4 linked regions of the Pelodiscus sinensis genome follow. The protein of the gene in region 1 purifies or fractionates together with the protein of each later gene. This does not show direct contact. Links are inferred from orthologs where the notes say so. Each region holds a gene or a part of one and is shown on either strand. Other genes may lie near its edges.

Evidence for each region.
Region 2: the proteins of HNRNPC (region 1) and NCBP1 purify together in Homo sapiens (co-immunoprecipitation; 3 studies listed by BioGRID and IntAct, with this or other methods). This does not show direct contact. The link is inferred for Pelodiscus sinensis from reciprocal best matches to the Homo sapiens genes HNRNPC and NCBP1.
Region 3: the proteins of HNRNPC (region 1) and U2AF2 fractionate together in Homo sapiens (co-fractionation; 3 studies listed by BioGRID, with this or other methods). This does not show direct contact. The link is inferred for Pelodiscus sinensis from reciprocal best matches to the Homo sapiens genes HNRNPC and U2AF2.
Region 4: the proteins of HNRNPC (region 1) and CHD4 purify together in Homo sapiens (affinity purification with western blotting; 3 studies listed by BioGRID, with this or other methods). This does not show direct contact. The link is inferred for Pelodiscus sinensis from reciprocal best matches to the Homo sapiens genes HNRNPC and CHD4.

Annotation. Positions count from the first base shown.
Region 1 is NW_027465841.1:161,173-168,039, reverse strand, and holds the start of HNRNPC (heterogeneous nuclear ribonucleoproteins C1/C2), read left to right. Parts: upstream 1-3,863; 5' UTR 3,864-4,002; intron 4,003-6,867. Other genes in the region: G-protein coupled receptor 4-like, read left to right, coding at 1-875. UniProt on the Homo sapiens protein: Binds pre-mRNA and nucleates the assembly of 40S hnRNP particles. Interacts with poly-U tracts in the 3'-UTR or 5'-UTR of mRNA and modulates the stability and the level of translation of bound mRNA molecules. Single HNRNPC tetramers bind 230-240 nucleotides.
Region 2 is NC_134716.1:345,935-353,320, forward strand, and holds the start of NCBP1 (nuclear cap-binding protein subunit 1), read right to left. Parts: upstream 2,912-7,386; coding exon 2,878-2,911; intron 7-2,877; coding exon 1-6. Other genes in the region: TSTD2 (thiosulfate sulfurtransferase/rhodanese-like domain-containing protein 2), read left to right, coding at 2,910-3,153. UniProt on the Homo sapiens protein: Component of the cap-binding complex (CBC), which binds cotranscriptionally to the 5'-cap of pre-mRNAs and is involved in various processes such as pre-mRNA splicing, translation regulation, nonsense-mediated mRNA decay, RNA-mediated gene silencing (RNAi) by microRNAs (miRNAs) and mRNA export.
Region 3 is NW_027465849.1:3,175,594-3,182,955, reverse strand, and holds the start of U2AF2 (splicing factor U2AF 65 kDa subunit), read left to right. Parts: upstream 1-4,349; 5' UTR 4,350-4,898; coding exon 4,899-4,947; intron 4,948-7,362. UniProt on the Homo sapiens protein: Plays a role in pre-mRNA splicing and 3'-end processing. By recruiting PRPF19 and the PRP19C/Prp19 complex/NTC/Nineteen complex to the RNA polymerase II C-terminal domain (CTD), and thereby pre-mRNA, may couple transcription to splicing.
Region 4 is NC_134711.1:138,730,562-138,737,539, reverse strand, and holds the start of CHD4 (chromodomain-helicase-DNA-binding protein 4), read right to left. Parts: upstream 3,020-6,978; 5' UTR 2,864-3,019; intron 1,643-2,863; 5' UTR 1,569-1,642; coding exon 1,466-1,568; intron 1-1,465. UniProt on the Homo sapiens protein: ATP-dependent chromatin-remodeling factor that binds and distorts nucleosomal DNA. Acts as a component of the histone deacetylase NuRD complex which participates in the remodeling of chromatin.

The sequences.
Region 1 (6,867 bases):
CTGTGGTACTGGGGGCTGGCTTGCCACTGAACTGCCTGGCAATGTGGGTCCTGGTATCCCAGATAAAGAAGTCCATCGTCCTCTCTGTCTATATGTTGAACCTGGTGGTCGCTGACCTACTGCAGATCTTGATGCTACCTTTCTGGATCTACTACAGCTATTTGGATCACAACTGGGTTTTGGGGCTCAAGGCCTGCCTGGCAGTCAGCTGGGGCTTCATCACCAACTTTTATGCCAAGAATGGTTTCCTGTGCCTCATTGCTATGGAGCGCTACATAGGCCTGGTCCATCCCCTTGAGTTCCGGAGGCTAAACACAATATGTGGTGCCACCAAGGTCAGTGCCATGGCTTGGGGGCTGGTGCTCAGCGTCTGTTCCGTGGGGATTGGTCTACTGCTGAAGAATCTAGAACCAGAGCGCTGCAATGAGGGTTATCCACTGGGGAGGTCCTATGCATATTTTAAGATGGCCACCATGCCTTTGTCCTTTTTCCTACCTTGTTTCTTCATGGGCTTCTTCTACCTTCGGGTCCTGCACAAGCTCAGGCAGGTGCCATCACTGGATCAGGAGGAAAAGCAGCAAATCTACGGATTCATTTCCCTCATCATCATCTCCTTCTTCCTGCTCTGTGTGCCTTACCAGGTGACCTCCCTCTACAAATACCAGAGAGAGAGGCTTCCATACGATCAAGACAGCCAACTCTGCCTCTTTGAAACAAACCTCTTCTTTTACCATCAGGTAGCGCTGTGCCTTACCACACTTGGCAATGTCTTGGATCCTCTGCTGTACATCCTGCTCCTTAAAGATGTGCGGAAAGAAATTGGAAATCACTTGTATTGCAAGGTCTTGGATCGGGGGCAGTCACAAGTAGATTAAGGCAAGAATGGAAATATTAGGTGGACACTGGTTCAGACTGATGCATAAGATACCCAGTGAGGTGGTGGGAATCCATTTGGATGTCAAGGTCCCTGCATCGGACCAGGGATTGGCCTTGTTCTCTGCTTCCCTTTTATGAAGCAACTCTGCCCCTGTAACCACAAAGAAACATGAAGGGAAACATGATCCCTCCAGGGACTTCTATTCACTCAGAACCTCTTGGAGAAGTACCTTAGAGACAGGTTGAGTTGAGCCACAAAATAATAATAATTAGATTGGTTCATGAATACTACATATTAGGTCTTTTTGCATTTATGGTTAGAGCTCTAGTTTTTCACAGCAATCAGGGACCTATCGTGATCTTTTAAATAAACAGTAAGTCTCATGGAAACATATAATCTCAAAAGATGGGCCTTTAACATTTAATATTTTGAGGCTATTGATAATATTGGGAAAGGTAGCAACATTGGATGGGCACATGATGAATTAACACAGACCACTAGACTAGGCTCTAGGATTGGATATAGATGGATAAGAACAGGTAGTGCCAGAGTTACCCACGGGGAAGATCTTATGCACATTTTAAGACAGCCACCATGGCTTTGTCCTTCTTCCTGCATTGTTTCTTCATGGACTTTACCTCCAGGTCCCACATAAGCTGAGGCAGGTACCATCATTTTAAAAGCTGGACCTTTAGCATTTAATGTTAGCGTGGAGAAGAAATTCATCCAAACTTACAGGATATAGAGACATAGATCTTTGCTGGTGAAAAAAAGACCTACTCTCCACAAAGGGTGAAAGGTAAAGAAATCGTGCCCACAGGGGAAAAGGAGAGAGACCCAGAGCAAGCAAAAAGCTGTAATTTAACCATGATGGGACAAAGAGAAAGGTCACTCATGTCTATGCTACATTCCCACTTAGTTCTGAGCAACAGAGATATGAGGAATTGTCTACCCGTCTGGTGGGCCACATGTGGCACATCTGGGTTCTATGTGTGCAATGTGGCAGGCAGGGTCCTCTGCCCCAGGGAGGTCCTCTCGCTCCCCGTCGTCCCGACGCCCACTTGGGCATGCCCCAGTGTTCTCCCTGGCTGGGAGGACACTGATCCGTCGGCCAAATCTAATCAGGTGACAGTCTCTCACAACACTCCAATGTTGCAGGCCTGCTCGGCCCGCTGGCAGCTGGGGGAAGGTAGGGGGGCTCGGGCCCACCCCCTCACCCAGCCCTGGCCCAGGGCCCTAAGGCCCAGGATTCAATTCACTGGTCAGGTTGGTGGGGTTGAGACCCTTAATGCACCAACCCTTCCAAAGCCCTGGGCCACTTCTTCCTTCTCTCCTGCTTGCTTCCCACCGCTCCGTCTTGCCACCCCTTTCTGCAGCAGGGGCGCTTCTTTTGAACATCCGCTGACAACGTGGCCAACACTGGGAGGGCCGTGCCGCCACTCTCGGCCCCTCTCTCTTCCTGGTCCACGGCGTACTGGCACTGGCAGGCGTCGCCAGTCAGCAGCGTGTCCGTGCATTCGGTGTCGGCTAGGAGCGCCCCTGCAGCTTCTCCCCTGCCCACTGAGGAAGGTGCTCTTGGCAGGTGGGGTGATGGAGCATCCTCCTGCTGGTTGCCAGCCGCTGCGGAGCATGTGCAGCAGAGCCAAGTTCAAGCTGGTGCCACCTCAAGTGGGTCCTGGTCAGCTGCCGTTTCCTGTTACAGCAACCTTCTATCAGGGAAATACCATTAAATATTCCAGTCTGAATAAATTCCAGGTCACTAACCTCTGCTTATTGACACTGACCACCTCCAGAGAGAGGATTTCATGCCCTGACTGGAGTTGCCTCCCTCCTGTGCTCACCAAAAGCGTTCTCCTTTACTGCTGAACCTGTGTCCTCCTGGAACGAGCTGCATGATGTGGTGATGGAAGTCTAGGGTGAGTGAAACCAGGCAGTGCTGCGGTGGGAGTGAGCCTGGGGGCATGTCAGAACCGAGAGCACACGTGTTGTGGAGCCACGAGGACGGCTGCAGGGGACACGGCTCAAAGAAACCCACTGAGCCCAGCATGTCTTTTGTGCATGCGTGCGCTGAGCAGCTGGCCCCTCATCCCTTGGGGGGGCACTTCTGGTCCGACCCGAGTGCCTCTGTCTCACAGCCTGTGCGAAGGGCAGTAGCTCCCCCAGGAGGACGCGTTGCTGGCCTCCCCCCGTGCCTGGGGGGGGTCTCAATGGAGCCCCATGAAGCGCGTGTGCAGCCCTTGCCCAGTGGAGTGGGACCCACACGGTGTAGCAAGGGGCTCAGGAGGGGGCAGCGGGCACAGGACCCACCTGAGCCCTTGCCCCGCCCCGTCAGCTCCCCCAGACCCCCCTTCTCCTCCCGCCCCGTCAGCTCCCCCAGCCCCCTCGTGGACCTAGCCCCGACTGGCGCCAGCGCGCGCAGCCCTCAGCCTCGCGCTCGCTGCTCGCCCCTCCCACCTGGGCCATGACCCGCCTTCCGGCTCAGCAATGGCAGCGTCAGGACACCTAATCGTCATCCCCGCTGTGACCAATGGGAAATTCCGCCACCAGGGAGCTCTTCCAATCACACACGCTAGAGCCCGCCTTTTCCTCCATTGGGTCAGCTAACAGTTGAGAGTTGATTAACATACACAGTAGCCAACCAGTGCGGAGAAAACTAGAGTGGGGTCGGCTAAGAAAAACCTTTAACCAATCATAGGGACCCATGAGCTAGGGCGGGGCCGGAGGAGCTGCTTCTCCAATCAGAATGGAAAGATTGTAATAGAGACGGGGAAAGAATGACAGGCCAATCAGAGTGGACAACTGAAGTAGGGCTATGAAGTGACACGTTCTTCAGCCAATCAGTATCTTTATTTCCGTCCCGTTAAGGCGCAAGGGGCACAGCCCAGTCCTGGACTCGCCCTCATCCTCTCTGCTCTCATTGGCCTGTACTGTGATCGACGCCATTGCTAGTCAATCATTGCTGAGACAGGTTTCGCGCCCTCCAATGGGGGAGTGTGGGGGCGGGCACCGCTTAGCCCGGGGCTGCGCGGCGCAGAGGGCGGCGGGACGCCATTTTGTGAGAAGCTCGGCGTGAGGCGGCTGCCGCGAGCTGGGGAAAGCGACGCGGAGCCGAGCGGGGTCTAGCGGTGAGTGAGCGGGGGCTCCACACCCCGGGACTGGCGCGGGCCGAAGGAGGGTGCACACACCCCTCCCCCTCGGGAATGGCGCGGGCCGAAGGGGGGGGGGAGGGTACACACACCCCTCCCCCTCGGGAATGGCGCGGGCCGAAGGAGGGTGCACACACCCCTCCCCCTCGGGAATGGCGCGGGCCGAAGGGGGGGGGGAGGGTACACACACATCCCTCCCCCTCGGGAATGGCGCGGGCCGAAGGGGGGGGGGAGGGTACACACACCCCTCCCCCTCGGGAATGGCGCGGGCCGAAGGAGGGTGCACACACCCCTCCCCCTCGGGAATGGCGCGGGCCGAAGGGGGGGGGGAGGGTACACACACACCCCTCCCCCTCGGGAATGGCGCGGGCCGAAGGGGGGGGGGGAGGGTACACACACACCCCTCCCCCTCGGGAATGGCGCGGGCCGAAGGGGGGGGAGGGTACACACACACCCCTCCCCCTCGGGAATGGCGCGGGCCGAAGGGGGGGGAGGGTACACACACACCCCTCCCCCTCGGGAATGGCGCGGGCCGAAGGGGGGGGAGGGTACACACACACCCCTCCCCCTCGGGAATGGCGCGGGCCGAAGGGGGGAGAGGGTACACACATCCCTCCCCCTCGGGAATGGCGCGGGCCGAAGGGGGGGGGGAGGGTACACACACCCCTCCCCCTCGGGAATGGCGCGGGCCGAAGGGGGGGGGGAGGGTACACACACCCCTCCCCCTCGGGAATGGCGCGGGCCGAAGGGGGGGGGGAGGGTACACACACCCCTCCCCCTCGGGAATGGCGCGGGCCGAAGGGGGGGGAGGGTACACACATCCCTCCCCCTCGGGAATGGCGCGGGCCGAAGGAGGGTGCACACACCCCTCCCCCTCGGGAATGGCGCGGGCCGAAGGGGGGGGAGGGTGCACACATCCCTCCCCCTCGGGAATGGCGCGGGCCGAAGGAGGGTGCACACATCCCTCCCCCTCGGGAATGGCGCGGGCCGAAGGGGGGGAGGGTACACACACCCCTCCCCCTCGGGAATGGCGCGGGCCGAAGGGGGGGGAGGGTACACACACACCCCTCCCCCTCGGGAATGGCGCGGGCCGAAGGGGGGGGAGGGTACACACACACCCCTCCCCCTCGGGAATGGCGCGGGCCGAAGGGGGGGAGGGTACACACACCCCTCCCCCTCGGGAATGGCGCGGGCCGAAGGGGGGGGGGGTACACACACCCCTCCCCTCGGGAATGGCGCGGGCCGACGGGGGGGGGGAGGGTACACACACACCCCTCCCCCTCGGGAATAGCGCGGGCCGAAGGGGGGGTACACACACCCCTCCCCCTCGGGAATGGCGCGGGCCGACGGGGGGGGGAGGGTACACACACACCCCTCCCCCTCGGGAATAGCGCGGGCCGAAGGGGGGGTACACACACCCCTCCCCCTCGGGAATGGCGCGGGCCGAAGGGGGGGGTGCACACACCCCTCCCCCTCGGGAATGGCGCGGGCCGAAGGGGGGGGGAGGGTACACACACCCCTCCCCTCGGGAATGGCGCGGGCCGAAGCGGGGGGAGGGTACACACACCCCTCCCCTCGGGAATGGCGCGGGCCGAAGCGGGGGGAGGGTACACACACCCCTCCCCTCCGGAATGGCGCGGACCGAAGGGGGGGAGGGTACACACACCCCTCCCCTCGGGAATGGCGCGGGCCGAAGGGGGGGGAGGGTACCCACACCCCCCTTCCCCCGGGAATGGCGTGGGGGGGGTGGCATACATGTTTTTTCCCTTTTCTGTTAATGGCGGTGCCCTGGAGGAGGGGCCATTTTGTCGTCCCCCCCCCCCACCCTACCCTCCAACAGTGGTGGTGGGGAATCTGCCCTTTTTTCGGGGAGGCCCATGCAGGGAATTGTGAGGGGGAATGGTGCTGCCCAATCTGAAAACCTCCAGTGCAGTGGTGGGGGGCAGTGAGGGGATGACTGACAGTGTGAATATCCTGCCCCAGGGGACATGCCCCTGGGGGGTGGAGAATGGTATGTCCAAGGATAACTCTCCTGGTTTGTGTTCCCTGCTCTCTCCCCTTGCAGGAGGAGGGGAACTAGACACATGACCCATGGCTGTGGGTGTCTAGACTCTGGCTCCCCTGCCTTTGAGCTTAGTGGCAGGAGTCACTCAGGAAGTCAGATGTGTCTGAGGTAGTTTTGGGGCTGGGGCAGAGGGTGTGAACTGCCTCCATGGTCAGAAACCGCTGTCCCCATGCACGCTTTGTCAGGTCCACTTGCAATGGTACCTGCGTGGCAGGGATCCTGGGAAGGGCAGCTAGCCCCCTTATTACTAAGGCCTTAAGAAATTCATGGTCCATTTGGGCCGATTTTATGGTCACAGGATTTTCAATAATTCTATGGTCCTAGCCCAAAAAGGAGTTGTGGGAGACAGGTTGCAAAGTTATTGAAAGTGGGGTTGTGATATTGCTGCCCTTATTTCTGCAGCTGCAGAGCCCTAGCTGGGAGCTCTGTTCTCAAGGCATCACATACATAATGGTGGCAATATTATGACCCCCTAAAATGTATAACCTCCCTGCAATTACCAGGACCCCCAGTTTGAGAAACACTGGTCTTCCCTGTAAAATCTGCATAGAATAGGGTAAAAACCCGGAGCACCAGATTTCATGGGGGGCAGGGAGGGGAGGACAAAGCCAGATTTCTTGGTCCTTGATGCATTTTTCTTGGCTGTGAAGTTAGTAGGGCCCTATGTGTTACCTCTGATTCAAAAAGAAGCTCTGTATGGTCTCTGGGCACAAACATCACTGTAGTTAGGGATTTGAGCAGCTAGTGCAAATGTCCTGTGTCAGGCTTTGCCTGGAAGG
Region 2 (7,386 bases), on another chromosome or scaffold:
GTCCTCCTGTTTCAATACAGTAATAAAACCAAGAATGCCAGTTAGTAACTCAACAGCTTTAAAAATGTTTTTGAACAATTCTGTCAGCCTCAGCCCATGTGCCAGTTCTGTACAATAATAAAAAGGACCAAAAAGATACTCAAGTGTTTATTTTAAACAGACCCAACAAAACATGAAAAACAAAGCTAAGAGTAATTAAAACATACTCAGTTTCTGTAGCCTTGTACTCTCTAGGATTTTGTTCACCGCTAATCAAATCCTTTTTACTTTCTTATTTGAAAGATGTTTTTGGAAGTGCATTTCTGCTAAAGTAGCAAGATACTACGTGCGTACCACTGATAATGCAAGTTACACACACATTATAGAATTAGTAGTACTTAGGTACAGCTCATCTGAAGTAGCACATGGGATTATCTGGCACCAAAGATAACATGAGAAAATGCCTGAGCAAGGAGGTTCAGGTAGCCTTTTACTCACAGGTTGAATCTCTCTAGTCCAGCAATATCCGTAGTCCGGCATGATTTTAGTTAGCCGTGGCAGTGTTGGTAATTCTGCTAGACAATACTGACCTCTTGTGATTCAGCAAATTCTCTGGTTCAGCACCAGTCAGGTCCCAAGAGTGCTGGACTAGAGAGATTCAACCTGTAAAGATTTTGTATTTTGGAAAAAAGACTAGGCAAACAAGCGATAAAGACCTTTTAAGAGCAGATGTAGTTGAATTCTAAATGACTGAATTTATCTTTGAAGGTCAGAGCTGAAAATGTTGGCCGTAAAAGAGTAGATTTTCTATCTTAGAATTGCATCAAATGAACTATATATACCCTCAAAGGTGCATCTCTTATATACATATATGTTATCATACTGTCATCACCAAGGCACTAAGTGACATGACTGACAGCTATCACATGTGGTTCATTTTTTCACCATCTCCCAGAGGAAAAGCTGTACATGAATTATCCTTTGTTTTAGTAAAGCTGCACCCTGCTGTACAGATGGTGGAGAAGGCAAGGTGGAAATAGTGCCCCTTGAAGCTGATGCAAAGGTGGTGAAGTTTGTGTTGGTGCTTTGTTCCCTAGGGAGTTTGGTGACCAGCCTGGAACTGGCCATTGAGAAAGCCTGCCACCTGCAGAGATGAACTTTCCCTTATGATAGTACATTCTATTGTGTTAAGGGAGTGAAGCTGTCGACTAGTCCTCATGTCAGAATTTTAGCTGATCTTTTAGACATGTTGGGCACAGATCATTAAGCACCTTCAAGATAAAAATGGAGACCTTGATGTAATACTCTCTAAAAAGTCAATGTAGAGTTCAGAACAATTCAGCGTGCTCCCAGTAGCCTTTGTTGCAGTGGTCTGCATTAGGCAGATTGATGGTTTTATGTCCAGCTATATCACATCAGTATTGGTGTGCTAGCAAGGAACCCAAGAGCATTGCTGATCTGCAGACTGACGTGATCAGTTGAGGACTTTTAACAAAAGCTGACTGCCCTGGGACTGCAAATTCCCCAACTTGACTGCTCTCAAGTCTTGCCTGAGTTCAGCTTCAGAAAGCTGTTCACATATCAGCTGATGTCAAAGCACTGGGCTACCTTGGTGATAGTAGCATGGCTCTACCTGTTCTTCACTGCATACAGCTGACTCATCTGGTACTTGAATCCAGGCATCTCACAGGTTTGCCTAGTAGCTGCATGTAGAACAGAAGTGGGAGCAAACCCCTGCAGCTTGGAAAGCCTTCCTAAATGCGCGTTCCTTGTCAGTGAAGGGTAACACCAGGTCTTCACAGAGCTGGTCTGGGCTGCAGGCATACAGCACTAAAGGGGTATAATCAAAGAATACTAGGACTGGAAGGGAACTCAAGAAGTCATTGAGTCCAGTCCCCTGCCAAGACCAAATACTGTCTAGACCATCCCTGATAGACATTTATCTAACCTACTCTTACATATCTCCAGAGATGGGGATTCCACAACCTCCCTGGGCAATTTATTCCAGTGTTTAACTACCCTGACAGGCAGGAAGTTTTTCCTAATGTCCAACCTCAACCTCCCTTGCTGCAGTTTAAGCCCATTGCTGCTTGTTCTATCCTCTGAGACCAAGATGAACAAGTTTTCTCCCTCCTCCTTGTGACACCCTTTTAGACACCTGAAAACGGCTATCATGTCCCCCCTCAATCTTCTCTTTTCCAAACTAAACAAGCCCAGTTCTTTCAGCCTTCCCTCATAGCTCATGTTCTCTAGAGCTTTCATCATTCTTGTTGCTCTTCTCTGCACCCTCTCCCATTTCTCCACATCTTTCTTGAAATGCGGTGCCCAGACCCCGGCACGTAACCAGCCCGAGGAGGCTCTGAAGACATAGAATCACAGAACCCCAGAGCCGGCAGAGACCTCAGAAGGTCAAGTCCAGCCCCCGGCTCTAGGCAGGACCAACCCCATCTAAATCAGCCCGGCCAGGGCTGTGTCAAGCCGAGACAAACACCTCTAGGGATGGAGACTCCACTGCCTCCCTAGGGAACCCAGCCCAGCGCTCCCCCCCCCCAGGGAAATGGTTTTTCCCACCCCCCAACCCGGGCCCTCCCCCACAGCTGAGGCCGTGGCTCCAGACACGAGTGACCGAGCCGCGCAGGGACCGAGGGGAAGGCTCGTGCGGACTCGCGGCGGCTTGTCCCATCCCAGGCGCGGGCGGGGGGGGCTGTCTGAGGAGCCGGAGCAGCACGCGCGGCCTGTGCGCCAAGGGCGGGGGCGGGAAGCGACGGGCGGCGCGCGGGGCCCGTAACGGCCGCTCGGCCTCAGGGGATGGGGACCGAGGCGCGCGCCCCTCGCCCGCCGGGAGCGCGCTGCGCGGCCCCGCCGCCTTGCGGAGAGCTCCCGCCGCCCCGCGCTCACCATCGTTCTCGTCGCTGTGGCGCCTCCGCGACATGCTGCCGGGCGGGGCGGGGCGGGAGCGGCGCTGGGCAGAGGCCGCGGCGGCGCCGAGAAGCGTTTCCCTCCGGCCGGCCCCTCCGCTCCGGCTTCCTGCCCGCCGCGAGCTGCTTCCGGGGCAAAGGGCGGCGGGAGCGGCGCGCCCCGCCCCCTCCCCCGCTAGCGTGCGGCGCGCCCCAGCGAGCGCGGGGATCGCTTCCGGGGCGGGCCAGGGAGCGTCGCAAAGTTCCCACAGCCGCGGTGAGCTGGGGCGCCTGCGCGAGGGCCCGATCCCGCTCGGGGGCCGCCAGTGGGCCCGAGTCTGAGCACCGGGCCCTCAGCACACGGGCATCCCCGCCCCGGGCCCTCAGCACACGGGCATCCCCGCCCGGGCCCTCAGCACACGGGCATCCCCGCCCCGGGGCCCTCAGCACACGGGCATCCCCGCCCCGGGCCCTCAGCACACGGGCATCCCCGCCCCTGGCCCTCAGCACACGGGCATCCCCGCCCCGGGGCCCTCAGCACACGGGCATCCCCCCCCCCCGGGCCCTCAGCACACGGGCATCCCCGCCCCGGGCCCTCAGCACACGGGCATCCCCGCCCCTGGCCCTCAGCACACGGGCATCCCCGCCCCGGGGCCCTCAGCACACGGGCATCCCCGCCCCGGGGCCCTCAGCGCACGGGCATCCCCGCCCCGGGCCCTCAGCACACGGGCATCCCCGCCCCGGGGCCCTCAGCACACGGGCATCCCCGCCCCGGGCCCTCAGCACACGGGCATCCCCGCCCGGGCCCTCAGCACACGGGCATCCCCCCCCCCTGCCCCTCAGCACACGGGCATCCCCGCCCGGGCCCTCAGCACACGGGCATCCCCGCCCCGGGCCCTCAGCGCACGGGCATCCCCCCCCCGGGCCCTCAGCACACGGGCATCCCCCCCCCGGGCCCTCAGCACACGGGCATCCCCGCCCCGGGCCCTCAGCGCACGGGCATCCCCGCCCGGGCCCTCAGCACACGGGCATCCCCCCCCCCGGGCCCTCAGCACACGGGCATCCCCCCCCCGGGCCCTCAGCACACGGGCATCCCCGCCCCTGGCCCCTCAGCACACGGGCATCCCCGCCCCTGGCCCTCAGCACACGGGCATCCCCGCCCCGGGCCCTCAGCACACGGGCATCCCCCCCCCCGGGCCCTCAGCACACGGGCATCCCCGCCCCTGGCCCTCAGCACACGGGCATCCCCGCCCCGGGCCCTCAGCACACGGGCATCCCCGCCCCGGGCCCTCAGCACACGGGCATCCCCGCCCCGGGCCCTCAGCACACGGGCATCCCCGCCCCGGGCCCTCAGCACACGGGCATCCCCGCCCCGGGCCCTCAGCACACGGGCATCCCCGCCCCGGGCCCTCAGCACACGGGCATCCCCCCCCCCGGGCCCTCAGCACACGGGCATCCCCGCCCCGGGCCCTCAGCACACGGGCATCCCCGCCCCGGGCCCTCAGCGCACGGGCATCCCCCCCCCGGGCCCTCAGCGCACGGGCATCCCCGCCCCGGGGCCCTCAGCACACGGGCATCCCCCCCCCGGGCCCTCAGCACACGGGCATCCCCCCCCCCGGGCCCTCAGCACACGGGCATCCCCGCCCCTGGCCCTCAGCACACGGGCATCCCCCCCCCAGGGCCCTCAGCGCACGGGCATCCCCCCCCCGGGCCCTCAGCTCACGGGCATCCCCGCCCCGGGGCCCTCAGCACACGGGCATCCCCCCCCCGGGGCCTCAGCGCACGGGCATCCCCCCCCCGGGCCCTCAGCACACGGGCATCCCCCCCCCGGGGCCCTCAGCGCACGGGCATCCCCCCCCCGGGCCCTCAGCACACGGGCATCCCCCCCCCGGGCCCTCAGCACATGGGCATCCCCGCCCCTGGCCCTCAGCACACGGGCATCCCCCCCCCGGGGCCCTCAGCACACGGGCATCCCCCCCCCGGGGCCCTCAGCACACGGGCATCCCCCCCCCGGGCCCTCAGCACACGGGCATCCCCGCCCCGGGCCCTCAGCACACGGGCATCCCCGCCCCGGGCCCTCAGCGCACGGGCATCCCCGCCCCGGGCCCTCAGCTCACGGGCATCCCCGCCCCTGGCCCTCAGCACACGGGCATCCCCGCCCCGGGGCCCTCAGCGCACGGGCATCCCCGCCCCGGGGCCCTCAGCGCACGGGCATCCCCGCCCCGGGCCCTCAGCGCACGGGCATCCCCGCCCCTGGCCCTCAGCGCACGGGCATCCCCGCCCCGGGGCCCTCAGCACACGGGCATCCCCGCCCCGGGGCCCTCAGCACACGGGCATCCCCGCCCCGGGGCCCTCAGCACACGGGCATCCCCGCCCCTGGCCCTCAGCGCACGGGCATCCCCGCCCCTGGCCCCTCAGCACACGGGCATCCCCGCCCCTGCCCCTCAGCACACGGGCATCCCCGCCCCGGGGCCCTCAGCACACGGGCATCCCCGCCCCGGGGCCCTCAGCACACGGGCATCCCCGCCCCGGGGCCCTCAGCACACGGGCATCCCCGCCCCTGGCCCTCAGCACACGGGCATCCCCGCCCCGGGGCCCTCAGCACACGGGCATCCCCGCCCCGGGCCCTCAGCACACGGGCATCCCCGCCCCGGGGCCCTCAGCACACGGGCATCCCCGCCCCTGGCCCTCAGCACACGGGCATCCCCGCCCCGGGGCCCTCAGCACACGGGCATCCCCGCCCCGGGCCCTCAGCACACGGGCATCCCCGCCCCGGGGCCCTCAGCACACGGGCATCCCCGCCCCGGGGCCCTCAGCACACGGGCATCTCCGCCCCTGGCCCTCAGCACACGGGCATCCCCGCCCCTGGGCGTGCAGCATAGGAACAGCGCTGGCCCCAGGCGCGCGGTGCATAGGCACTACCGGCTCCTGGGCGCGCGGCACAGGAGCGGCGCCAGCCTCAGGCATGCAGCGCATGGGCTGTTCCAACCCCAGGCGCATGGCGTATGGGTGGCCCCATCCCCGGGCACATATGCAGCCCCGCCCCTGTGCGCCTGGCACAATGAATGGCCCCACCCCCTGGCACCCGGGAGCCCCAAAAGGTTGGGGTCCACTAGTCTAAAACCATTTTGAGGGAACAGGTACATTTTCAATAGCCAAGTGTCAGATTATTTTGGATTGCTTGATGTGAAGTCCAAATATGTTGTTTCAATAAGGCACCAATATTTCATTTTGATTTCCTGGATTTCATTCATTTTGATATTCTACGTTAAATATATGTCTAACATGTTTCAACATTATAAAAACAAAATGTTCTGAATCAAACTTTTTTTGGAATTTCCATGCTGTGAAAAGGTTCAAAAACTTGACTTTTTGTTCCCAAACAAATTTCAGAATGTTGGTATTTTCTGCAGGATGGAAATTCCCCTTTCTAGCCAGCTCTGTGGAAAGTGTATGTCCCCTGGTACAGAACACCTCCCAGACTGAGCAAGACTTGAATTCCTAGTGTGCTCTAATAGAAACCTCTGGAAGAGAAGCAAGGTGACAGGATGCTAGAGACCCAAGTACATGTATGTTCTTGGTGTTGCGCAGATATCACACATTCTCTCTCCCTCCTTGTGGCAGTTGTATGTGGTTCCAGTTTATTAGTATGAATAGTAACACTATCAAGGTGAGCAGTCCATAAGTGTTATTTTGTCCATAAAATTAGTGTAAAAAGGTTGTGAATTGTAAATTGTCCCTGAAGTGAAGTGTTTCCAGGAAGGAGGTGTGAGATGAGGCATGCTTCCTCCGATACAGAGTGTAGCACTCCAATCTGCCTACCTGGCAAGGGAGAGAGAAGAGGGCACCCTAAAATCCATGGCCTGCTATGCACTATTTAGCACACTGATCAGTCACCCTCTCCAATGAACAGGTCAGGATTTTTGAAATCATGAGTAGTGATAGAAATGTAGCCGTGTTAGTCTGGGGTAGTTGAAGCAAAATGCAGGACAATATAGCACTTTAAAGACTAACAAGATGGTTTATTAGATGATGAGCTTTCGTGGGCCAGACCCACTTCCTCAGATCAAATAGTGGAAGAAAGTAGTCACAACCATATATACACCAAAGGATAGAATTTAAAAAAATGAACAAATATGAAAAGGACAAATCACATTGCAGAACAGAAGGGGGATGCGGGGGGGTGGGAAGGGGGAGGAAGGAAGGTAAGTGTCTGTGAATTGCTGATATTAAAGGTAGGGAGAGTGGGATGTTTGTGAGTTAATGGTATTACAGGTGATAATTGGGGAAACTGTCTTGGTAATGGGTGAGAAAGTTCAAAGACTTGTTAAGTCCCTGTTGGTAAGTGTCGAATTTTAACATGAATGACAGTTCAGAGGATTCCCTTTCAAGTGCAGATGTAAAAGGTCTTTGTAGCAGAATGCAGGTGGCTAAGTCATTTAGAGAGTGTCCTTTCTGGTTAAAGTGGCAAGAAACTGTTTTCTCTTTGTGATCTTGTCTGATATCTGTT
Region 3 (7,362 bases), on another chromosome or scaffold:
TGACACTGGAGAAAGCAGGTTGACCTTCTTTTAGGTCCAGGTCAGGCCTAAAAATTAGGCCTGAGCACAATTCTGTGGGGCAGAGGAGTGGGGTGGAGGGGGGTGGGGCTTTTCCTCATGAGGTGGTGTGGGCCCCATCTAGGCACATGCCGGGGACTGGCTGGCTCAGGGAATGAGGCCTGGAGCTGCTGGCTCGAATCATGACCCAGCTTGTCAATTTTACCCCTACAGTTCTGGAAAAGGTCTGACGCTGGGGGGGCGGGTGCTGTGCCGATTGGCCATACAGGCTGCTAGAAACTGTGCTGATTGGCCATCCTGGCTCGATCTCCAACTGGAGGGCGGGGTGTCTGGATCCTGGACCCAACCTGCCTGCCTGCCTTGCCTTCCTCACCTCCCCTGCCCTGAACTGCTCCCCTCAAATCCACGCCGCATACAGATCCCGCGTCACTTAGAGACCAAACCTGACCCCCCCCACCCCGCTCCTCCTCCTCTCCCCCCACACCCTGCTCCGTCACCTGCTAATGCCGCCCTCACCCCGTGCCCAGGGCAGTGTGGGTACTGACTCCATCTGCTCCCGCCTGGCACCGATGAAAGCACTAAATTGGGTGCCTCACCCTGCCCCCCTCGCAGGGTTTTCATTGAGTTCCTCCGTTCCCTGGTTTTTTTTGGGGGGGGGGGGCGATTTGTCCCTCCCCTGCACCGCGGCCCCGAGCTGCTGGCCCTGTATGTGTACGTGAGTGCAAGGGGCGCCAGGCCGGGACGCCCCTTTTAATTCCGTGTAACAAACTCTTCTCCACCGTGCCTGTTCTTTCATGCCCTCTCTATGTTTAAAAAAAAAAAAAAAAAAGAGAAAAGAAAAGAAAAAAAAAACTACAAAAATCAATTTATTAAGAGAATTTAAATTAAAAAAAAAAAGAAAATTTGGAATAAATCAAGGCCTGAGTCTCATTTACTTATCAAAAGTTTCCCTTGGGCCTAAAAACAGGCGCCTCTGGGGTGGGGTGCAGAGACTGTTTCGATGGAGACACTCGTGTGGAAATGCGACCAGCTCTGGGGTGGGTGCTCTATGGAGAAACCCCTCACCGAGTGCTGGAATGCAGCTGCCTCTGGAGTAGGGCATTGGGGGCTTTTTATACCATAACCTCTCACCTGGTATGAGTCAGACTCTCTGGGCCAGGAGCTATTTCGCGAGGGACCCCCTCCTCTGGGGCTGAGATGTGGTCTGATTGGGTGCAGGGGCTGTTCTTACAGGGCCCCACTGCCTGGTGCAGAGGGGGTCCACGGAAGTGATCTCGTGCTAAGCTGGCCCAGTACCGTGTGAGATGGGCACGTTGGGCTGATCTTCTGTCCCAGAGCGGTGCCGTCGGCCCACGCTCCCCAAATGGGGCTGGTGGAGCACGAGGGAGAGAGCCCCTCCCCCCCGAAAGGGGCTGGAGTGAAGATGGACAGAGGCCCGCGTACACACAGGGCCCATCTTGGCCCAGACCTGGGATACCCTGTCCCCTGAACCTTTCTGTGCCATGGCCCGGAATCCCTTTAGACCTCAGGAGCCCCCCACTCAAGCCAGAGGAGTTCTCCAGCCACCTTGGACTGGCCCCCTAGAATAAGAGGCTGGTATTTCAGATAGGGTGGCTATATCCCTTTAGCATGGAAGGGTGGGGTCGTGCTGAAAGAACAGAACTCCGGGAGAGCAGTGGGGTCTAGTGGTTACAGGCGGGCCTGGGAGCCAGGACTCTGGGGTTCTCTCCCTGGCTCTGGGAGGACAGTGGGGTCTAGTGGTTACAGGCGGGCCTGGGAGCCAGGACTCTGGGGTTCTGTCCCTGGCTCTGGGAGGACAGTGGGGTCTAGTGGTTACAGGCAGGCCTGGGAGCCAGGACTCTGGGGTTCTGTCCCTGGCTCTGGGAGGACAGTGGGGTCTAGTGGTTACAGGCGGGCCTGGGAGCCAGGACTCTGGGGTTCTCTCCCTGGCTCTGGGAGGATAGTGGGGTCTAGAGGTCCAAGCAGGCTGCTCTGAGAAAAGCCCTGGGAGGAGAGCCATGATTTTGGGACCTCAGGAATGATGATTATGGGCCCCTGCTGTTCCTCCTTACACTTGGGGCTGCCTCCTCCATGGATTCGGACAGTGCCTGGTACGAAGAGGCCCACAAAGACCTCCACTCCATGGCCCCTCCCCATCCGTCTCTGGGGGGCGCTTTGGAACGCTGCATCTCACCCCCGTGAACTCCAGGCATCCGTGGGCAGCTGTTTAGTGACTCTGACCGGAAAAGGGACACGGTCCCTGGCCTATGGTCCCTACAACCTGGATGCTGAGCTCCGTTAGCCAGCTCTTTAAATGCAAAAGGGAGGCTGGCTGTGGGGGTCTGGATTTAGGGTGTGGGTGTCTAGGGCCCCATCTGGGTAGGGGCTAGATGGGATTGGGGAGAAGTGACTCTGTTGGGTGGCCTATATAGGGGGCTGGGTAAGTGAGGGGCAGGGGGCCAGGCAAGGGATTATATTTAGTTGTGTGTGGGGGGGTGAGGTAGGGTTAGGGAAGGAGACAAAAGGCTCAACTTGAGGGTGGGTATTGGCTTGATGGGGGAGGGCAAGAGGATGGGATGGGGGGAAGGGTACCACTGGGGAGATGTGGCCTGCCTTGGGAGGCGAGGGGCTGGTGGGGGTAAATACACAGGTAAACCTGGCTCCACCCACCACATCAATGCTGAATCAATGCACAGACCTGCATCTTCCAAGCACAGAACCAGGCTGGAGGCGCAGATCAGATGTTTACATAGGAGTTGGGACACACCGTGGTGCCTCAGTTTCCCCACATTTGTCTCTTTCGACTGTAAGAACTTCAAGGGCAGCAACCAATGCAACACAGGCCTCCACCCTATGGAGACTATGGGGTGGCTAAAGGGAAGTTATGGGACTCAGATGAGGGAAGTTGTGGAATGTCTGGCTAGTGGGGGCTTCGGGGGTGACAGTGGGGGACCGTGGGTAGCTAAAGGCAAATTATGAGGCTGCTGTGAGGCACAGGGTGGATGTCTGGAGTAGTGGGGACTACTGGGCTCAGTAGGGCTATGGAATGTCTGGGACAGTAAGGCTCAATAGGGGGCTAGCAGGAAGTTATGGGGCAAAGGCTGCCAGCCCACCAGGATTATCCTGGAGTTCCCAAAAATGGAACATTATCAGAAGATGAAACCTCCAGGGATGAGCAACCCTTTATAGGGTGGGGGGGGGGGGGGGTCTATGAGGGTGGGAGTAATTGAGGAATTATGCTTTGCTCTGTGGGGCTATAGGGGACTGGGAGGGGCTCAGTGAGGTGGTTATGGAGACAGGGTGACCATGGGGCTGGGAGGGGCTCAGTGAGGAGGTTATGGGGCATGATGCCCATGGGGGCTGGGAGGGGCTTAGTGAGGGGGTTATGGGGGTAGGGTGACCGAGGGGCTCAGTGAGGGGGGCTATGGGGCAGGGTGACCATGGGGCTGGGAGGGGCTCTGTGACGGGGCTATGGGGGTAGGGTGACTGAGGGGCTCAGTGAGGGGGGCTATATAGGGCAGGGTGACCATGGGGGGGCTATGGGGCAGGGTGACCATGGGGCTGGGAGGGGCTCAGTGAGGGGGTTATGGGGGTAGGGTGACTGAGGGGCTCAGTGAGGGGGGCTATATAGGGCAGGGTGACCATGGGGGGGGCTATGGGGCAGGGTGGCTATGGGGCTGGGAGGGGCTCAGTGAGGGGGCTATGGGGGCAGGGTGACTGAGGGGCTCAGTGAGGGGGGCTATATAGGGCAGGGTGACCATGGGGGGGGCTAAGGGGCAGGGTGGCTATGGGGCTGGGAGGGGCTCAGTGAAGGGGCTATGGGGCAGGGTGACTATGGGGCTGGGAGGGGCTCAGTGAGGGGGCTATGGGGCAGGGTGACTATGGGGGGGGCTAAGGGGCAGGGTGACCATGGGGCTGGGAGGGGCTCAGTGGGGGGGGCTATGGGGCAGGGTGACTATGGGGCTGGGAGGGGCTCAGTGAGGGGGCTATGGGGCAGGGTAACCATGGGGCTGGGAGGGGCTCAGTGAGGGGGGCTATATAGGGCAGGGTGACCATGGGGCTGGGAGGGGCTCAGTGGGGGGGGCTATGGGGCAGGGTGACTATGGGGCTGGGAGGGGCTCAGTGAGGGGGCTATGGGGCAGGGTGACCATGGGGCTGGGAGGGGCTCAGTGTGGGGGGGGGGGGCTATGGGACAGGATGCCCATGGAGCTGGCAGGCCATCAATGGTGATGGGAACCTAGGAAGCATGGAGGGGGCGGGGCTCTAGGGCAGTTGTGGGGCTTATGGGAGTGGGAGGAGCTGCCCTTTGCCCCCATACGCCATTTCCGCCCCCTACCGGAAGTGGCCTCTTTCTGGCCCCTTTCCCTGCGACCGCGCGCGCTCTCCTCTCTCGCGGCCGGGAAGGCGGAAAGAGCCGAAGCCCCCTCCCCCCGTCTCCGGCCGCAGCCGAAGCAGCGTTGCGAAGAGGCGGGAGGGGAGGGCGGAGCCGAGGAGCAGGCGGAATCTTCCGAAGCCGCGGCCCGGGCGTGGGCGGAGTCTCCGCGCAGAAGGAGCCCGGAGAGTCCCCGAGCGCGGGGCGGAAGGAGCCGAGCGGCGGCGGAGATCCCCGAGCGCGGGGCGGAAGGAGCCGAGCGGCGGCGGAGATCCCCGAGCGCGGGGCGGAAGGAGCCGAGCGGCGGCGGAGATCCCCGAGCGCGGGGCGGAAGGGGCCGACTGTCGGCGGAGCTCCCCGAGTGCGGGGCGGAAGTAGCCGAGCGGTGGCGGAGATTGCCGAGCACGGGGCGGAAGGGGCCGAGCGGCGGCGGAGCTCCCCGAGCGCGGGGCGGAAGGGGCCGAGCGGGAGGCGCCGCGGCCTGTGCGGGAGCGAGGCGGGGGCCGCGATGTCCGACTTCGACGAGTTCGAGCGGCAGCTCAACGAGAACAAGCAAGGTGGGGGCGGGGCGCGGCCGGGCCGGGGCCCCCGGGGGGCCCCGTAGCGTGCGGGGGGGGGGGGCGCTTCCCGTCCGTCCCCGGGGCCCCCCCCGCCCCATAGCGCCCCCCCGGCCAGCCCCATGGATTCCCCCCGCCCCCTAGCGCCTCCTTGGCCAGCCCCATAGCGCCCCCCCGGGTTCCCTACTGCCCCATAGCGCTCCCTAGGGCTTCCCCCCGCCCCATAGCGCCCCCCCCAGGTTCCCTACTGCCCCATAGCGCTCCCTAGGGCTTCCCCCCGCCCCATAGCGCCCCCCCCCCAGATTCCCTACTGCCCCATAGCGCTCCCTAGGGCTTCCCCCCGCCCCATAGCGGCCGCCCCCAGGTTCCCTACTGCCCCATAGCGCTCCCTAGGGCTTCTCCCCCGCCCCGTAGCACCTCCCAGGCCAGCCCCATGGCCCCCCCCCCCCGGACTCTCTCGCCACAAAACGCTCCTCCCCGCCAGCCACATGGATACCCCGTGCCCCATAGCGCCCCCCCGGGCTTCCCCTCCCACCCCATAGCGCCCCCTGGCTAGCTCCCTAGCTCCCCCTGCACTACAGTGTGCTCTCTCAGGCTCCCTACCACACCATAGGGGCCCCCCCTCCACCCCACGTTTTTTCCCCCCACCTCCACAGATTCCCGCCCCCGTAAACCCCCTCCCCCCTCTGATCCAGTCCTATGGATTCTTCTACCCCATAGTTTCAAGGTAGTCCCATGGGCTTCCCATCTAGGTCTTCCGCTAGCCCCATGGACCACCCCCCCTATACTTCATCTCCTAGACCCTCCCCAGCCCAGAGACCCTTAGCTAGCCCCATAGATTCCCTGCCCTTTCGGCCTCCCAGCCATCCCCAGAGATCTCCTGGTCCATGGCTCCCCCCCACTCCCTATAGTCCCCTGCTTCTATAGATTCCTAGCAAGCCTCATTTCTCCCCTACCCCATAGACCCTGCATGTTTTACCCTTTTTGAGCCTCTCCCCCATGCTATAAAAACTAGCCAGCCACTTCTGCCCCCATAAGTGGTTTTTTGCATCTAAAAGCCAGGGTTGGAGTTAGGGCAGTTGCCTGCAGCCCCATGGCACTGGGCCCACATGAAACTATATTGTCCCGGGGGCAGGGCTCAGGTCCCTGGATTTCATTCTCATGCAGCAGGGCTTCATACTAGGCCCTAGCTAGTCTAACATTGGCCCAGCTTGCCCCCTGAAATTTGCTTGTACCACCCCATTGAGAATCACTGCAGGACCCCCACCCCCTGTTCCTCAGCCTGCCCCATAGCTCTTATTCCCCTAGTCCCAATAGCCATGCCTTTAGCATCCCTTCTCCTAAGCACCCCCTTTCGCACCCTGCTCCATAGTCCCCTTCCAGCTCGTGGCCCCCAACCTTTGAGTGCCTCTTACGCCCCCCCATAGCCTTCCAGCTGGCTACCCTTTACCTCCCCACAGCTTCTCCATCCTCCGCTTCCCCTTTCCTCTGCCAGTGCCTGTCTGCCTGCCCCATAGCAGTGCCAGACCCCATGCTCCTGCTCCACCTGGCCCCCAGCAGCACCCCAACCTGTGCTGGTGCCCAGAGCTCCCTGCCCGCTTCTTGAGCACCTGCTCCCATTTGTCACCACCTCCCAGCCTGCCCCTGATTGCTCCCAACCCGCCAGCTTTCCCTGTGCCCCACTCAATCCCCACAGCCCCCTCCCTGCTGCCCCTTTGCCGGCAACCCCCCCCTCCTCCCCCAGGCAGCCCCTGCTTCTCCTGCCTAACCTTCTCCACCCTGTATCCATCCCCTTGGGCAGAGACGCTGAATTTTGATTATTAATTGTAGCAGGCTAGGGAGAGGTTGAAACATGTGGGTGTGCTCCCCCCCCCCCCCCACTAGGTGGCGGGGTGGGAGAGAGGGGCAGGAACACCTTCCCCCACTCCCGGCAGCCTCAGGCCCCTCCGTGGGGAGAGAGGGAAATCCAAGTTATCCCCTTGTGGCCGTCGTCCCCTCCTGGCAAATAAGCCCCAAGGGGTGAGGGGAGGGGCAGGTATCACCCTACCATGGGGCACCCCAGGGCTTAATGTCTGGATGCTGGGGAGCGGCAGCCAGAGGCAAGTGTTTGGAGCCAGGTGTGAGTCTCTTGCCCGTAATAGAATTGGGGGTGGATGCCCTGCTTGGAGCTTTCAGAGGGAAAAACCCCTCTGAGGATCCAGACCCGGGACCTGCATAGGTTTAAAATCCCTTGTGTGGCTGGGAGATTGATCCTCTCTGTTGCCTGTGGAAGGAAGCACATGGGACATCCTGCTGTGGTGTAAAGCGGAGTCTGTTCCAGCACCATTGCTGTCCGCCGAGCCCCTATGCAAACAGCAGAAGATTGTGTTTTGGGAGCTAGCTTACGTCAAAGTGCAGCGTGGCTCCAGAGCCAGT
Region 4 (6,978 bases), on another chromosome or scaffold:
TCAGTTGGGGGCTGCACACAAGTGCGAATCAAAAAAACCCAAAACACCTTCTCTGATATGGCCCCTAACTAAGAAGGAGAAAAACATTCCCCACATCCTCCTCACACACCAGAGTCTTTGGGGGCCCAGGCTAGTAGATGGTGTGTGCTCCAGCTCTGCAGGAGGCCTACAGCATCAGCATGGGCTCCCCAATGCTGGGAGGGAGCCTTAGGCCTCAGGCCTTAATCTCCCCACCTCTGATCTAAGTGAGCTAACATATTGCATAGAAGACCTTAGCATACCCCTAGGAGTATGCATACCCTGGGCATAGCCCTGGTTAAGAGCCAGGGACCTAAGTGACTTCCCTGCCCCAGACTCAGACGCCTATGTACGAGGTAGGGATGATTTTAGAGTTCCTTTCTCAAACTCCTATTTTACACTGTTGCAAAATGAGTTGTACATCCATATAAGTCAGCAACAGATCTGGGAATAGAACCTGAAAACTGACTTTCAGCATCCAGGGCTCTAACCTGATTCAGATTCTCAGACAGAGACTTCAGTTACAGTGAAAGCCAGGTATGAGGCCTGAAGAGGCAAATACTAAGGCAGGGATTTTTAACTTTTTTCTTTGGAGTGTCCATCCCCCCCCCCCCACACACACACCATGCTATAAAAGCTCCACCCATGCCACAACCTATTTTTAACATATAAAGCCAAGGGCAGAATTAGGGGGTAGAAAGTTGGGCAACTGTCAAGGGCCCTGTGCTAGAGGGGGCCACCATGAAATTAAGATGGCTTGGCTTCAGTCCCAAATGGTAGGGTCCATGGCCCAGGCTTTTGCCCCATACAGTGGGGCTTTGCCTTTCCATCCTGGATCTCAGCAAATCTGGTGCCAGCCCTGCTTAGTAAACTCCCTGAAACCTACTCACAGCCCCCCAGGGGTCCCTGGATCCCTGACTGAGAGCAGTTGTACTAAGTGAAGTGCACAGGCAAGCTACTGATACAAAACACAAAAACAGGGGCTAAGGTGAACAGTGTAGAATGATCCATGGGAAGCTTGGAGAGTAGGGTGTGGTGAACAAAAAGTGGGTCATGCAATAGCCCAAGGCAGTTTCCTCTGGACTGTCAGCAGGTCTGAGCTCCCAGATGGATGAGAGGAAAGCCAGACACCTTGCCCTCCCACATACTGGTTCCAGTCCCAGCCATGGTACATACACCTTGCTGGCAACACACATGCCCCATTAAAACCAGACTCCCTGTCAGATGGATTGCCAACAGCCTGCACTAGCTTTGAATAAAATAATTTCTACTTCACCAAGGTGTGCAGACCACAGGTTTTAAAAAGGCCACAATAAAGAAACCAAAATATTCTAATCACCTGGGCTCTTAATAAAACAAAACTTATCATTTACATGCATCACCCATTCAATAAAACTGATAGACCCACTACCACTCCTTTTTACAACGGTAGCCCTGGGCATCCTACCTATACCTTGGTGCTGGGCAATGCTGTTATTCAGCAGGATCTCCATCTCCTCATCATCACTGCCAGCAGAACAAGGGGACGGGGAGCCAATGCCCGATGCCATGTCCTCCAAACTGGGGTACCCGGGCTCCAACAGCTTCTGCAGCCTTGTCTCCTCCTTGCCAGTCAGGCCAGTAACTTAGCATAAAAAAGTTAACTTTGATAGTCAGCACGAACCCACGTTCCCATACAATAATGTTACCCAATGGATGACCTACATTAGAAGGCTTTAAAAAACATCAGTATGGAATTTAGAACTGCTCGCCCCCCAAATAAGGGAGGAGTAGAGAAGAATGGAAATGCTGAGATTGGGCACTAGTTGAGGGTCCTGATGGGGGCAGTTTTGTGTCTACTGGGAATTAAACTGTCAGGAACGGACTGCAGGCAAAGGGCCACCAAATGGCAGTCCGATGATAGTTTCCAAACCCTTTCTGACATGACGCCAGACTAGCCCCGGTGCAGTAGAGCATGGCTACATGGAGTTCGGGGGCTTTTAAGTCAATCGGTCACCATTTAATTCGAGGCAGTTAACACCTTCGTCAAAGCTGCTCTTGATGACCCCTCACCCCAACTTTTGTGGCTTTACTACTCCAGGGAGTCAGCCCCGGCTGAGCTACCGGCGGGTGCAGCAGGGAACAAGTGTTTGAGGAACAGCCAAACTCGCTTTTGCAAAGTCTTCCCTGCCTCGAGCTGGCGATCAATGGACGGGAGGGAAAGCTCCAAGGAAGACCGGCTCCTAGCGGTGCGAGAGACCCGCGTCGCAGCCGCCCCCTTCCCCACCGGGCCCCCACCAAAACCCTTTCTAGTGCCGGGGGCCCACGTGCCCCCGCCCCACGGACCCGGCGAGGCAGGACCAGCCACAGCCGCGCGGTCCAGGGGCCCCACCACGCCCCCGGGAGCCGCCCCCCGCCCGCTTTCACGCAGGCAAAACAAAGGCGAGCCCGTGGCAGGCGCCGCGCGGGCTCCCGGCGAGCCCGCCCCCCCGCGCACAAGGAAGGGGGCGGCAGCAGCACGCGGCCAGCCGGGCTCCTGGCGGGGGGCGGGCGCAGCTGCGGCTCGGGGCGCGCGGCCAGTCCCGGGGGGCGGGCGGGGCGGCCCCGGGCAGCGCGAGGCGGCGGCGGGAGCGGGGCCGTTCCCCGGGCGGGGCGAGGTAGCGCCGGGGAAGGAGGGTCCCCGGGCGCCGCGGCCGCTCCGTGCCCAGCGGGGACACAAGGCGGCCGGGCCGAGGTCGGCGCCCCCGGGAGCCGGGGGGAAGGGCAGCTCCCGGGGCCGGGGGGCGCCGCCACGAGGGGTCAGCGCCGCGTCCTGCCCTTTGAAGCGATGTTGGGGGTTGTGTCCGGTCCCTGCCCCTCTCCTCACCCAGCTCGCCCCCGGCTCCTCGCTCTCGCTGCCGCCGCTGAAGGGAAAATGGCCCCCGCTCCAGCACCACCTCTTAAAGGGGAAAAAACCCGACCAGGCCCCTCCCCGCTCCCGCTTCCAGCCCATAATATGTCCCGACACCTCGGCAATGGGTCCGCCCCCGTCACCCTGGCAACCCCCTAACTGAGACATCCCATAATACTTGCCCTCCCTTTAGAACTCCCTACTCACTGGCCGGCCCAGCATCCCATAATAATCACCCCTCCCAGCAGGAACATCCCATAATACACCCCTCCCTCTGAGAAACATCCCATAATATTCCTCACACTTCACCCCCTCACTCAAACATCCCATAATATTACTCCTTTGCTAAAACATGCCATAATAGTCCCCTTCCCTCTCCCTCACAGAGACATCCCATAATAATTGTACTCTCCCCACACACTCTGACATCCACTCTCACCCCCAGTATCCCATAATATCTCTCCTCCCCATACCATTCCCCCCTCCCTCGTCCAGACATCCTACCATAATCCCCCTGCCTTGTTAAAATATCCCCTAATACCACACACTCACTGTCCAACCTGGCATCCCATAATAAGCACTACTCCCTCTACAACTCCCCCCCCAGACATTCCATAACAGCCCCCATAGCATCCCATAATAGTCATACCCCAGACAGATATCCCATAATAATAGTCGCCCTTCTCATCCTCCCCTCTCAGCCAGACATCCCATAATAGTTGCCAGGAGCCACTGTCCAGCCAGACATCCCATAATACTCTCAGCGATTCTTAGCCACAACCCACAATACTCCCACTGACTGCTTGCTCCCCCACTCCAGCCAGGCAGCCCATAATAATCACATTCATGTATTTCCCCCCCCACTCTACCCAGACAGACCAGAAGGCACCGGTGCCATCTGAATAGCCCACAGTACTCAAGCATGGAGACAAGCATCCTGTAGTACTACCTACCAATCCCTCCTCAGAAAATCTAATAATAATACTCACGATACATACTCACCATTCGCCCCACCCCCACTTCCCATCTACGCAGACCATAATAACCACTGGGGGCACAGGGCCAGCCATGCATCCCATAATACTCTGGCACAGACTGCCAGGCTTCTTTGTTCCTCCAGATGATACACTCAATGTATCCCATAATGATCAACACCCCCCTCCCAAACACACACTCAGGCAGGTAGCCCATAATATTCACTGGAATCAGCCTCTAGCCAGACATCCCATAATAATGATGTTCACCCCACTTTTAAAAGTGAATCAAGCATTCAATCCTACATATAAACCCCATTAAGGAATGCCATCCTACAGAACAGAAGAACAATCCATGTGAACAACTCTGAGACTCAAACATCCTACCAAGGTCAGGCATTATCCACCTCCCACTCCCAGATATTAGACATGTCCATCTCTTAATGATATACATCTTCATGGTATAAACTTAATAGTATCTTTATCCCTTCCATTTTATACATGGACTTCCCCTAATGGTATTTGTCCTTCTTTATAAAACACACAGCTATTCTATAACTGTGTCCTTCCCATTGTGTGTATATGTATATATGGACATCCCATAAGATTATTCACATCATTATATATACAGACATCCCATATTACAATCCTTGCATGCCCTAATAATATCTATTCTATCCCATTACACACATTAATATATTATCTAACCATTCCTTTATACACATGGATATCCCATAGTATTGTCCTCCCCTTTGTTGAACACACCAACATCCCATAATACAATCACTAATAATCCCTTACTATACACATGTAAATCCCATAATAGCACCCATCCCTATTTATGTGCACACAGAGACCATAACACTATCCACCCTTCCATTAGAGGTATCCATATCCCAGTTATATACAGACTTCCATATGACTATCCGTTCTTTTCATTATCCATATGGACATCTTACAGTATATACACACCCCATTGTAACCACAGGCATCTCATGTCCTTCCCTTAATACTGTATTTCAGTGGTCCCCAACCTTTAGAGGCTCCCGGGCGCCTGGGGGGGGGGCCACTCACGCTCCGGGCACCCGGGGGGGTGGAGCCATTCACGCACCAGGCGCCCGGGGGCGGGGCCGCGCGTCCTGGGGCACGCCAGGGGCGGGGATGCCCTTGCACCCGGCGCCGGCATGTGCCCCGGGGCCGGGGCCGGGGCCGCCCAAGCGCCTTGTGCTCAAGCTCCCCCACTGCCTCATCGTGGGCTGGAACATACAAAATCTGCTAGCCTGCATCCCTCTAGGCTCTGGCATGCAATGGTAATGTGGGGAGTATCTTTCACCTTCTTAGTCTGGGGCCATGTGAGTGAGGGGTTTTTGTTTTGTTTTGTTTTTTTTGGGGGGGGTTGCTTTTCATTTGTGTGCAGCCCCCGATTGATTTTTCTGTGGGTCAGTGGTCCCTGGCTCAAAAAAGTTTCCTCACCTCTGTCCTACACTGTCCATTCCTCCCAGTAGACACATGAACATCACTTAATACTACTCATTTTCTATTATACATGGATATTCTATAATGCTATCCAAACCCCTTGTTACATACACACACCTCCCACAACAGTATCCATCTATTGTTATAAACACAGCTACCTCATGATCAGGGCCGAACGAAGGCATGGGCGAGCCGGGCAGCTGCACAGGGCGCCAACCGATGAGGAGCGCCTGATGGCAGCTGTAAGAGGCGCGCGGCGTCCCTTACAGCTGACAACAGGCGCCGTGTGCCCGGCTTCCGCAGTGCCAGCCCCACGGTGCTGGCCAGCAGTGCCCTTGCCCTCACGGCTGTGGGGCCCTGCACAGCCTGGCACACGCGCCAGCAGCACACACCAGGCTGGGCTGGGCAGCGCATGCGCCATGCGCCCGGGGAGGGGGGTGTCGCGCGCCCAGGCCCAGAGTGCCAAAAGGGCTCGGGCCGGCCCTGGTCATGATACCACTGAAGCCTCTCTAGTACACATAGCCATCTCATAATACGATCTTTTCTTTGTTATAGTCATCCTACAATTCTGTCTATTCCCCCTTCCCCTGTGAAATAGTTACCCCATACTGCTATCCATTTCTCTTCACTCTGGCTATGTCTACCCTACACTTTTTTTCCAATTCTTTTTTCGGAAGAGGCTTTTCCAAAATTTGGCCCATCTACACTGGGCCAAATTTCGGAAAAACCTCCTCTTTCGGAAGTGCCCTTATTCCTCATAAAATGAGGAATACAGGGCTTCCGAAAGAGCGCATCTGCTCTTCCGAAAAAGAATTCAGAAGAGCAGACGCGTTCCCTGGATGTGGCGGAGTTTTTCTGGGATCCCGGAAAAATTCCATAGTGTAGACATGAGCCATGAGCATACATCCCATAATACACCTCTCATTATACACATCAGCATCCCATAATACTATCCATCTTATACACACATGGACGATTGACATCCTCCAAATTCAGTGTATGTATTTACACTACTATCCAAACCAGACTATCCACCTTAAAATACTTTTTACTACTCACAGTAGTACTTTTACTACTCACAGTAGTACTTTTACTACTCACAGTAGTAAAAATACTTTTACTACTCACCATCACTTTCCACCCACCTGTACACACACACACAATACATCTCTTCACCTCATTGCTTCAGTTTTTCAACTGTAAAGTGGAGAAAATGATACTGTCCTTCCTTTATGTGAGACGTATAGACAAAAATGCTGCGTAAGAAGTGAAAGATGTTACTCTTACAAATATTACTGGCAAGCGCCCAGTCTATCCACTGTAATAAACTCTATCACCTATTATAGACATGTACATCTTATCTTCATCCTCACTATACATGCAAATGTTCCATAAAGCTGTCCATTCCCTCTTTACACACTGATATCCAGTAATGCTATCAGGGTTGTGGTTGTTTGGGAAGAACCATAAAGCTTCATGATAAACAGGTCAACTGTCTACATACACAGCTGGTTATTACAGAGTTCTAGATATATCCCATACAAATTTCATCTTTATGGGTGTGATCAAGTTATTAAAGGTAACACAAGGCAGAATCTCTGGAACCAGGCCAAGTATCAAAGTTATGTCTCTGTATACCCT